3 linked regions of the Drosophila melanogaster genome follow. The protein of the gene in region 2 interacts with the protein of the main gene of each other region in a pairwise test. Each region holds a gene or a part of one and is shown on either strand. Other genes may lie near its edges.

Region 1 (4,146 bases), on a different chromosome or scaffold from region 2:
GGTAATTAAAAAAGTTTTTCCCTGCTGAAAAATAGCAAGAAAATTTTCAATTGACCAGAGAGCGGGTTTTTTTTTTTAGACCGGCTAATTGTCATGCAGAGCAGTGGTAAGAGGAACATTTCCCGGGCTGACGTAATTAAAAAGCCGTCAAGCGAAGTTGGCGCAGTTAGCGCTAAATGTCGTCCAGTTGATGCACAGACTCTGGAGCTTAAGTACTGGCCTTCCATCCCGCCTGCAGATCTCTAATTAAATAAGCAAGTGTCACATTTGTCTTGAGTGCCCGACAATTCGGTGACTTATGATGACTGCAGAGCAGGACGCGACGAAAGCCGCTCCAGGACCCCAATTCGGACCATCCACTTGGACGGAGGCATTGAGGAGCAGCGGAGAAGATTTATGAGGTAAAAGCAATTAGAAAGTGGCATTAACAACCGAATGCAGAGCTCAGCACAATTAACAATTGCCACAAGCTGCAGGAGCAGGCTAAGAGCAGCGAACCATCACACAAAGCACTTCTTTCTATAGAAACAAACAAACGTTTTAAAAGTTTCGCTTTTAATAAGCTTTTATAGTTGTAATAGCTGTGAGGTGTGCCTAGTCTTCCCTATGAACTCTTTGAATTTTGATATCCAATTAGCACAGCGACTTATCTCTGGCTTCCTCGTGCTTTATCGAGGGATCAGATGATTCGATTTCCTTTACAACGCCAGTTAATATTTCCACTTCGCCCATGATGGCATCCAACACCTTGTCCAAGTCGCCGCGAGCGGGAAACGAATGTACATCTAAAATAATAAAATGAATAAATTATTTAATAATAGCAAGATTTTTTGACTAACCTCTTCGCCGTAGAAGGATTCGGTGAAGGTTGGTAATCGCATCTATTGTGCGCTCCTTGTCCATGTAGTTGTTGTTGATGGCGTCCTTGGTCTTGGCCAGGATCTTCTCCCATCTGAGGCACTGCACTCTGGACTCGTTGTAGGATCGTTCCAGTTTGGCCAGATCGTTCTTTAGACCCAGCACAGTTAGAGCCGCATCATTTGTGATCTGCACCATACGCTGCCGCATGTTCTCGATGTCCTGGAGCTTTTGATGCTCCAACTTGTTGATCTCCACTTGAGCCAGCACTGTAGAACAAAAAAAAATTAATAACTTTATTTCATTTTATAAATTAGCAATGCTCACTCAGCGCATCACAGCGATCGGTGCAGTCCTTTGGCGAGACGAATATGTCGGATACCTTCACCACCTCGTCGAGCACCTTCTCGTAGGGCTGGAACTCCTGCACGGTGGCCTTGAGAGCCTCCCGAAAGGCCTTGAGTTCGCCGATCGAGTCCTTGAAGCTCTCAATGCCCTCGCCGAGCTCCTTATGGTTGAGCGTCTCCGCTTGGGCGGTCTTCTCGGCCACTCTCTTTTTGTCCGCGCAGTCCTTGATGAAGCTGTTCACCTCGATGAAGCGCCGCCTCAGCCGCTCCTGGATCTTGTACATGTTCCTCACCCGGGCGGAGTTCAGCTTGGTCTGCCGCTTGGCACTGGTCAGCATCTCCTCCTGCAGCTTGAGCATGGCTTCGTGCTCGCGGAGATTGTTCACATATATCAGTTCGATGGAGTCGCCGGCAGAGTCCGAGTTCGGTGGAATTCTACAGGAAGTTACGAATAGGTCAAATAATTGATACCAGATAGAGACATCCTTGCAACAGTAAATTACGAAGCTGTAAAATTTCTCAAAAATCTCAAACTGCACTACCAGGATCATTTTAGGATTGGGTACTTCTCTTTCAGCCTTTTTTCAGTGTGGGATTCACTACTTACACGAAGAATTTGTTCTGCTGCTTAGAGCTGATATAGTCCCCCACGGCATCCTCCGGCCGCAGGTCCAGATTTCCCAGAACATCGAGCTTCTTGGTGGGCTTCACGCGGGGCATCTTGGATCTCTTTGCCGAAAGTAAAAGCTCAAGTGTACGTTTTTGTTAGTTTTTTATATTTTTTTTTGCTTTGGTTACCGCGATACAGCGCGGATTGTGCGTTTTGTAGTAGTAGTTGTGTGTGCTGTGTGCTTACTTTTCAAAGTGTGTTATTGTTTTGTAATAAAAATTAACAAGACCTACTTGGAACATGTTTTTTATTTGGGTGACACATAAAAACAATTGGTTGCCAGGAGGTTCTTTTATTACCGTGGCAATGGTTGAGAAGGTGTAACCAGTTTTGTGTCATGGTAACTGCACAATTTGGTTTCTTTCGAAAAAACAAAATAGGAAGCTTCTTCGGCAAGCCGAACCTAATATACTCTTGATACTCGATGATGATTAATTTTTAATCAACAACTATAGAATTATGATATCTTTTCAATTGTTTTTACTTGATTTAACGACTGGTCGTACTTATGAAGGAAACGTCAGCAATTGCATAAATATCTGAATGTAGTAATAAAAAATGGTTTAATCCTTTTATCCTTGACTGTGCTGTCTGCCCATATACATGTAGAATTACTCATCACACATCGTTCTCCAATAGATATTCCCCCAATATATATCAATATATTTGAAAAGATTATATTTTAATAGGACAAGATGCCGCGACGTAAGCCCACCATTAAGACCGATGTGATCGGGGATCTGGACCTCAGTCCAGAGGTCGCCATCGATGACTATCGCGTCTCTCGCCAGCAGGACCAATTCTTCGTGTAAGCTAAAAGAGCAACTACAATATGTAAGTCATACTATTAATGAAACTTGGATGGTCTAGGAAACCGCCCAATTGGGATTCGGCCGGGGATAACATCGAGATGCTGTACATAGCCAATCTCCGGGAGTACGACGCCATGAAGCAGGTTCAGATCCAGCTACTCAAAGATGCCAAGCGGCAAGCCGCATTAAATGTGCAGCGCATTCGCAAGATGTACAAGATTCAGGAGCGCCTGCGCAAACGCTTCGTCGAGGTGAATGGATTCATCAAGGATTGTGCGGACAAAAAGCGCAGTGCGGATAAGTCGATTCGCGAGGAGACCGTTCTCCACGCGGAGGTCACCAAGGAGATAGACGAGTTCAAGACCTCCATTGCCGAACTGAGCACCTTTCGCAATGCGCTCAAGGCCACGGTGGCTCAGTTTCAGCCATACGAGAGGGTCCTGGAGGAGGTAGTCGAGGTGTCGGACATCTTCATCTCAACGAAAGACTGCATCGATCGATGTGACGCTCTAAGTGGGTTCTCCACACCTCCTGTAATTTCCATTCTAAATTTGTTTTTGTTGTGCAGTGTTGGCCCAGGTGGAGATCAATAAGCTGGAGAGCCAGAAACTCAACGAGATCGAGGAGATGCGCCTGCGAATGGTTCAGATCACCAGCGAGGCGGCCTTGACCGTTTTGGGCCTCAAAAACGATCTGGCCCGTTTGGATCGTTCCTATGTCAGCTCGCGGGCCACTTGCCTCAAGTGGGAAAAGATACTAAGTGCCTGCAAGGACACCACGTCGCTCTACAACCTGGACAAGGAGCGCATGTTTGATGGCATTCAAATCCTGTACCGCATGCTCTGCAAACGTCGAGGTATGTCCTTGAAATCCTTTGACTCTAGCTGATGTACCAACTCCACCCCCGCAGACATTGTTCCCAGCTACCACAGCTATGAGATCGACAAAATCATGAGCTTCATCATGCGCGAAATAAGTCTTCTTTCATCGGTCCTCCAGGAATTGGAGTCCAATAAGGGCGATAAAGTCGGCGCTGGACGTATGTGCTAGTCGGAAAATATAATATTTTTCATGGAGCATAAATAAATAAATAAATGATTTTAAATCCTTTAATTAATGGAACGAAGTTCAAATAGCTTTTACTAATTTCCGTTTGGGTTATTTTTACTGCAAATATTTAAAAAAAATTCAGCCGAATCAGAGATTAGAAGGGTTGTAGCGAAGGAATAAATGTACGACTTGATTTATGAGCTCCAAACTGTTTAGGGTTTTTTGTTTGAACCGAGAGGCCTTACATCCTTTCAGATTTACTCTCATTCCTAAGAACTTAAATGGGCGCTCCACCTTCAGCTTTATGGCACCCATAACATTTGTCTAACCCCAAAACCTTGCCAGCCCTCCCAAAAAAAAAAAAAAAAAAAAAAAAAACTAGAGAACCCACAACATTCGGTTGGGCATT
Region 2 (3,933 bases):
GGAGGAGGAATTGAAGCAGCAGTTCGACGAGATGGGCGTGGAGCCAGCGGACGCAGTTCTGGGCAGGTGTGCGGAGCTGGCCATTACCTACAACATCCACGACGCCACCGAGTTCGTGGAGCAGTGGATGGCCTTCAGTTTGTCGCACCTCCAAGGCGAGGATCCTGCGATCGAGAATCTGGGCGACTTTGAGCGCAAGGTGTTGCAGCTGCGGAAGGACAAGGCGGGATACAAGGCAACTGGCCAGAAGGCGAAATCATATGGTTCGCCCTCTGTACAGGATACGAGCTCACTGGCCACCTATGGCGTCATGGAGGACGATCCCATGCTGGATGACTATGTCAGCGAATCGGCAGTGGACTCCTCCGCTCTGCACACGCCCAAGGCCAAGAAGCAGTCGGATCGGACCGCCAATCTCAAGGGCGCCGCACTCTTTAGCCCCGCCAGCTATACACCCCAATCGGCAAAGAGGAAAGCAGGTTTAGAAACACCATCCAACTCAGTGGCCGGCAAGCCGGGCGATATAGTTGACACCTTCGGACATCCCAAACTCCTGGCTGGCTCCAGCTGGCAGTCACAAATGGAGCACACGGTTCCGGTGACTCAAAAACTGCTGCACAACGACGCCCCGCTGACCATCGCAAATTTGGGCTACATGAACGACCTGCTGACCGACCGATGTCACAACCTGCGCGTCCGCTTCAACCAAACCGGTCCGGCACTAGTGGACAAGAAACTTGGACAAGCAGGCGCAGCCGAGTGCATTTGGTATCCGCAGGATAGGCAGGTATTGCAGTCCGCAGGTGGACTCCACGCGGTGGGAATGATTCATTCCGAGGACGATGGCCCACTGGACGCCCACTCCGCATTTATGGCCGTTTTAGATGACGATGTAGAAGATGAAATGGACCCAACGCTCACGCTCAACTTCTCCAGGGTCAAGTCTGCCAGCATATTCCCAGGTCAAGTGGTGCTCGCCAAAGGGTTCATACCCAGGGGCAAAACCTTCATGGTAGAGGAGATACACACAGAGCGCAAACTGACGCCAGCAACGCCACTGCAAATAGACAGGGAGCTTCAGTTTGTGGTGGCCTCCGGACCCTTTACGGACAGTACGGATCTCTTCTACGAACCGCTGCACGACCTGCTCAAGTACCTCAAGGATCACAGACCTGACGTGCTGGTGCTCACGGGACCATTCCTGGATGCCGATCACAAGATGGTCGGCGAACTGGCCGAGACCTTCGATACATTCTTCGAGAAGATGATTGGGGGAATAATGGAGTCGATTGGTAGTCACACAGCAGTGCTGGTGGTGACCAGTCAGAAGGATGCCATGGCTCTTTCCGTATATCCAACGCCGCCGCCCGCTCTGCGCAGAACCTATCCAAATCTATACATGCTGCCCGATCCATCTCTGGTGGACTTGGATGGCTTTACGCTGGGCGTTACCTCAACCGACGTGGTGGACCACCTGTTGAGTCACGAGTTTGCTGTGAATGCCGGCGAGCGGATGCACAGGGCCATCAACCACTTGTTCCACCAGGGCTCCTTCTATCCTTTGTATCCGCCGGCGGACGAAGACATGGCCTACGATTCCCAGCTGGCGTTGAAATATGCACAGCTCAAACAGCTACCAAATGTGCTCATCTTGCCCAGCGATCAGCGGCATTTCATCCGCTTGGTCAACGACTGCCTGGTGATCAATCCCGGCCGTGTCGCGGACAAGAAGGGTGGAACTTTCGCCCGATTCCTGGTGGCGCCTTCGGTGCCGGGAAAGGCGGCCAACATGTTCAACAGTGTGGCGTGTCAAGTCCAACGCATCTAACCTGACCACTTTGTGATGATGATAAGGAAAGGATAGTGGGAAATAGATCAGTACAATATTATTAGTTAATATAATGAACACACTACTTTGTCATAACTTTTCACAAAATACATTCAACAACAAACAACTAGCATTAGTTATTTTGGGCCAAAGTAGGTATTGTATTATTTGTAAACATATGCCCTGGAGTTTTCTCAGACTCAAGTTTTATATACAACAAGATCAATAATGGCTAGCAACGTTGCTGCGCCACAAGCTTCAGCTGGAGGAGATTCGACGGAACTGGAGCGCTGTTGCTGGATCTGTTTTGAGACCGATAAGGAGGCAGGTCGCCAGGCTTGGGTGAATCCATGTCTCTGCCGAGGAACCAATAAGTGGGTGCACCAGAGCTGCATTTCCCTCTGGATCGACGAGAAGACCCGAATAAACAACAATCTGCAAGCCGTTTCCTGTCCACAATGCCAAACGGAGTACACCATTGCATACCCGAATCTCTGGATTTTCGATAGGGCTTTGGAGCTGACCAACGATCTTATCCTAACAAACTTATATAATTGCCTGGCCAATGTCTTCACGGTGGTCTTTGCCTATTGGTCAGCGGTTTCATTCGGAGCAAAAACATATTTGCAGATCACTGGTCAGGAAGGTCACGTTCATCAAATAATTCAATCGGGAGACCTGTTGGTTGTTCTGGTCGGATTCCCATTAATCTCGGTAGTTCTGATACTTGGACGCTTAATTCCCTGGGAAGATGCCCTGTTGCGCTTCATTAGAATATGTTATTCATTGCTGCGAAGTCTTTCAATGATGTGCCTAGGACGGAAATATGACCACCAGACCGAACCATACCCTTCTGCGCCAATGACCGAATATTCAGCATCGCGGGTGGTCTGTGGAGCCATCCTCTTGCCCACCATATCCATGTACGTGGGTAGAGTTCTTTACAGCTCTGTCGACGATAGATTGCAACAAACTCTTCTTGGGGGATTGACTTTCATAGCGATCAAGGGATTCCTCAAAATGTACCTCATGCATAGCCAATACATCTGTCGTATGAAGCGTCGTGTTTTGGATTACACGAAGGAAAACCTAGCGGAGGCAGACGGACACTAGGTAAACTCAAGATCTGCAAGAGAAGCAAGAAGTAATTTGAATATCTATTTAAATTGTAAAGTGTACAATTTTCCTAAGACTACGTGTCAATAGTGCATTCTTACTACCAATCATAAATAATCGTTAAAGCATTTATTAATTTATGCATAATAGTTTACAGCTAACAGTAGGAAATGGTGTCTAAATGTAATGTACTCCCTAGGATCTCTATGCACGATTGATCGATCCAGCCCCCTCTTTACGGAAGTCAACTCTGTATCGAGGGCGCGATCGTCGAGAACTAAAACTCCAATGTATATTTTAACTATACAAAAAATACTGTATGCCGTGTGTGTGTCCAATGAACTTGGCCGCAACTCAGATGCGGTTAAGTAACTGCGCGCCACCTTAAGTAATCCTCGCCTAACGTCTCACTTCGTTCGGCTTCTGTGCCTGGTTCCTGGAGCTGCGTCGTCCAACAACTCGTTCAGTTGTTGGGCTCCTGCTTGTATTGTTATTGTCGGTTGTTCACCCCCTCGGGATTGTGGCTGCTGACCATGCTGTGCTCCATGTTCTTCACGATCACATAGTTGGTGATGTGGTTGATGGCCTCGTCCTGCAGCCGCTCCGGCCAGCGCTTCATGTACGATTTGATGAAGTCGCCGAACGTGTCCACCTTATCGGGAGTGCTCTTGTGCGTGTCCACGATGTTCTTCACAATGTCCACGAACTTGTCGTAGTCCTCGTGCGACTTCTTGATCTTCTGGTAGTTGGCCACGCCTCCATTGGTGTTGCCCCCACCACCACCACTGCCACCGCTTCCACCGGCAGCCGTGTTCATTTGCTGATCCATGTTGTTATCCGCCAGGCGGGCTGAGGCAGCGGCAGCCACCGCCGCCACGGCCGCCGATGAGGCCATGAAGTTGTCCACGCTGCCGGCATTGGGTGGTGGCTGGGAGTGGTCCATAAAGTGCCGATGCATCCCGTACTCGGTCCTGCAAATCCCAATTGTT
Region 3 (4,146 bases), on a different chromosome or scaffold from region 2:
TCGCTGATAAAGTTAAATTTAGGGTTAAGTGGGTTGCCGGTACTTAAAATGGCGCAGTGGGCCTTGTTGTGAACTGCGTTCACCACGTCCTTGGTCGAGCTCTTCTCGTCGCGAATTAACACGTAGCGGGAGTGAAAGGGTCGTCCGCCGCCCTGCGGCAACGGCATCAACTGGCTATCCAAGTACACGCAAAATAAATGGAATATTATCTGCAGAATGAGGTTACAATTAATCAAGAGTGCTCAGTTGCGGAATTTCGTATACTCACAGCTGCATCGGTGGGCAAATGCTCGTCCCGCTGCTGACCGTTGTGTGTTTTGCCCGAGTACCAGCGGTAGTCAGCTATGCAAGAGCCCTGCGCAAGCTCCTTGATGCGCTGCACCAGGTATTCCTGGTTGCTGAAGGTGTCCAGGAAAGGTAAGAGCATGGGCAACATGGGCGCACACGTCTGCACGAACTGCTGGTTCTCGGCTGTTTTGCGTAATCTCTCTACACTCACAGATCCAATTTTAATGTCAATCAGAGCTCGCTGGCGGAAAACATCGTCCACATAATTGATCTCTTTGACCAAACGCTGAAGTATGGTCGTAGAAATCCACTAGAAAATGGTAAGACATTAGTACGTTGCAGTGGAATATTGAACGGGATGCTTACAAATCTTAGGTTGGCCACATATTGCGACAGTTTGTCCGTGGATATGCGCTTGATGACCTCCGAATTGCTGTCCCTAAACTGAATACCGCCAAACTCCTCAATCGAGGTGGGAGCATTTTCCGTAGAAACAGCCGGAGGTGGCGATAGTTGATAGATGGTGGTCTTGAGCATATAGGCCGCATTGTTGCAGTAGTTCCAGAAGGAGTTGGCCGATCCCATGCTCTGCACATTGGGTGTATCCGAGCTGTCCATCATGCTGCGCTCCCGATCCGCCTGCTTCATTAGACTGGTCAACTTTCGTGTATCGGTCATGAAGTCATCGCGTCGCACCTCCGCATACGGGGACATATAGGTAGACTCGTTGCTCAGATTGCTGGCATTCAGCGAGTTGTTTCGAACCATCGAGGAGTTGTAAGAGGTGTTTTGTTTCGTCTGCTGCGGCGTCCTTGTGGGACTGGGGCTGCGGCGCATGGATTGCGAGCCCCAGCAGGAGTCCTCGAAGGAGGAGTGCCAGTTGATGATGGGTATGTCGTCCTCTATATCGCTATCCGGTTCGTAGCTGCGTGGTTTCATCACGGCTCGGGAGCAAACTGTACGAAAAGAGTTCTCTATAGGAATAAAAGTGGTTAAGTGGATGCGTTAGAACGGGTTCCTTTGGATTCCTCACCTGCCTTGCCATCAAGCAGCCACTTTTGGATATCGCTACCCGTAACTTGGTCACCACCAAACCATAACCACAAATACTTGCCGAAGCAGGCGAGTGCACTTAGGCCAATCAGGGTCGTAATGGTGCACTCCGCCAGGAACCAGTAGGTCCTGTAGGCGGACCGACATGCCTGCCAGAGGTCGAAGAGGAGTAGCGACAGCAGCACCACATTTATGGAGCACCACTTGAGGTAATGCCGCGCTTGGGCGCCCTGCAATCGCAAGTCCAGGCTGCGCTGCACCACTGGGTTTTTACTCAGCGGCGAGCTGAGGAGCATTCATGGGTTAATTTTCTGAATTCTACACTAGTTTCTGTCACTTACCAATTAGTCCGTGTAAAATTCATTGCCTACTATGTGATAATTATTAGAAAATCACCTGAATAGGTCGAAAATGCCGGGAAAACTTGTTTGTAAGTGATAGCACAGACAAAAAGTTAGAATACCACAAGGTCAAAAAATAAATACCGTTTGGAATGAAACGCGTTATGTACTTTGTTGGCTCAAGATACCTTAGCGGAGACACTTTCCCTAGCGAAGACACACACCTATCGGCGATGTTTTCTTTGGTATGGATCAATATCCATGATATCATATTTTTTAATAGAACTAAAATTATTTTTATGATTTTTAAAATGATTTTTTGTTTATCCGAATGTTTAAAGCTATTCACCCACTCTAAACGTATTACTTATCAGCAACTTTTAATTTATCATTTAAATGCAGTGTTTTATAATATTTTTTAGAGTAGTTATAAAATTAGCTGTTTTTTAAACAAATTTTTTCTCTATCTTCAATATATTATGACATAAGCCGTACAAAACCGAAGACTCAACAATTTTGCAACATTTATGAGGACGCTAAAAAATTCCTTAATTTAATTTAATTTAGTTTGTTTTTAATGATATAAAATAACTTTTAATTTATTTCATTCCCTAAGTAAATTGTATATAATTGTGTACACATGCAACTAAATGTGTATTCTCAATAACTTAAAAATATTTTAAAATAAATATTTATAAAATATAACTTTTTTGTTTAAAAATTATACATTCCTTAGCGCACTGGGATGACTGGGGCTCGTCCGGGAATTGAACCCGGGACCTCTCGCACCCGAAGCGAGAATCATACCTCTAGACCAACGAGCCGGTTTGAACCTCAGTCGACTAATTACGCAATCTAATGTAAAAAAAAAACTTACATATAGCCATTACAAAAGGTTCCACAAGTCACTTAAAATTACGTTATCTTATTCTCTCCATATAGACAACTAATTATTAGGCTCTCGTAGCATTAGACCCTTAATTTAAATTATTTAAATTATTAAAATTATTTAAATGCCATCACTGACTTTAAATAAAAAACACGCTTGTAACTATATGATATATTAAAAATAATATCTTATATATTGTTTCCTGATTTAATACATTTTCGAGAGGACGGTACTTAGATAGAGCTATTCAGTTTTGCATCAGTATTCCCTGATCGTAAAGCCCGCTTCACTGCCCTTCTTCTCCTTCTTCGTTTGCCAACGACTGTAGGTCCGACACCCACTCCCACACCGATCCCCGGAACAGGAGCTAGTTGCAGCAGGAGAGGATTACTGACCAGGGCGGCGGCGATGCCCAGAACGGTGGCACTGGCCAGCGGAATCAGGAAGCTTTTGGCCAGCAAGGCCTTTGGTGAGATCTCTGGCGATCCCTTGTGGGAGACTATCTCGTGGGAGTCGATGGGGTAGGAGCTGTAGGAGTAATCCACTGCTGGCCCCGGGTAGTGGCCATGTTCGGGTCGAGGTCGATAAACGTGGTATGGCACCCCTGCCTCTCCGCTGGAGGAGTAGGTGTGCCCAGGAGCAGGTCCTGGCTCATAGCCATGTCCGTTGGATGGTCCGTAGTCATACTGATAAGGTTGACTGTCATAGGCGTAACTTTTGCCAGCACTTCCACTGCTGCCATAATGCCCTTAAATAGTATTAAATATATTTTTAATGAAATCTACAATAAACAACAGTCATCAATTTCAAATATTAATCATTTTAAGTTTGAGTTTATCTTTGTAGAATATATAGATTGAGTAATCTTTGAACTCACCCACGCTTATTCGATCGTGTATATTCCCACCTAGTTTCCACTTATCATAGGCCTGGCTAAGGTTATCATTTAGGTCACTAGCTTGGGAGCCATGAGCTCCTCCAAAAGGCGGCAGCGCACCAATGGGCTTGGATATGAAGCCAGCTGCAGTGCTATCCAACTTGGATGACGATGAGCCCGGTCCGCGGTAGAACTCCGGGGGAGGATCGTAGCTCTTGGCTACTGCGGAGCCCACGGGGTCCAGTTTCACGATAGCCTGTCGTTTCCGCGGCTGCATGGGCTGCCAGGACTCTGATTCCTTGGACGCGTTCTGTGCGGATGCGTGCGCTATGGTTAGAAGGAGACCGAGGCAAAGGCCAAAGGCCAAAAGTAACTTCCCTTGGGACGCGAACATGTTAACTGAGTGCGACGCCTGCAGACCGGCGGATTTTATATGGGTCCCGGTGTCGCCATGTCGTCATCTGGAGTGGGTGCCATTACAAGCGCTGGCGACAAATTGCAGTCCGACAATTTCAAACCGTCGCCGCTTGGCTGCTGGCATTGAGACGTCTGCAGTGCGTTTCGGGAGCGATTAGTGCCGCCAGCTTGGAGCCCCTTCAAGATTTGGCCACGCGGCTCTTTCCACACTCTTTCATCAGGCATTATATCAGGCGGAGGCAGCAACGAGCATGTAGTTGCCAATTTGTGCCTCTCTTGGA

Evidence for each region.
Region 1: the proteins of CG17991 (region 2) and CG17564 interact in a two-hybrid assay, tested with the Drosophila melanogaster proteins (one large-scale study listed by BioGRID).
Region 3: the proteins of CG17991 (region 2) and CG6479 interact in a two-hybrid assay, tested with the Drosophila melanogaster proteins (one large-scale study listed by BioGRID).

What each region holds. Positions count from the first base shown.
Region 1 is NT_033779.5:19,297,803-19,301,948, forward strand, and holds CG17564 (uncharacterized protein), read right to left. Parts: upstream 2,132-4,146; 5' UTR 1,926-2,131; coding exon 1,813-1,925; intron 1,641-1,812; coding exon 1,186-1,640; intron 1,128-1,185; coding exon 840-1,127; intron 786-839; coding exon 634-785; 3' UTR 543-633; downstream 1-542. Other genes in the region: CG10750 (uncharacterized protein), read left to right, coding at 2,571-2,683, 2,746-3,200, 3,256-3,545, 3,600-3,737.
Region 2 is NT_033777.3:27,239,276-27,243,208, forward strand, and holds CG17991 (uncharacterized protein), read left to right. Parts: upstream 1-1,991; 5' UTR 1,992-2,056; coding exon 2,057-2,941; 3' UTR 2,942-3,055; downstream 3,056-3,933. Other genes in the region: PolA2 (DNA polymerase alpha subunit 2), read left to right, coding at 1-1,828; CG18766 (uncharacterized protein), read right to left, coding at 3,435-3,915.
Region 3 is NT_037436.4:17,337,475-17,341,620, forward strand, and holds the start of CG6479 (uncharacterized protein), read right to left. Parts: upstream 1,789-4,146; 5' UTR 1,706-1,788; coding exon 1,683-1,705; intron 1,663-1,682; exon of another isoform or gene 1,638-1,662; coding exon of another isoform or gene 1,627-1,637; coding exon 1,322-1,626; intron 1,263-1,321; coding exon 655-1,262; intron 599-654; coding exon 269-598; intron 210-268; coding exon 1-209. Other genes in the region: CG13727 (uncharacterized protein), read right to left, coding at 2,805-3,319, 3,449-3,842.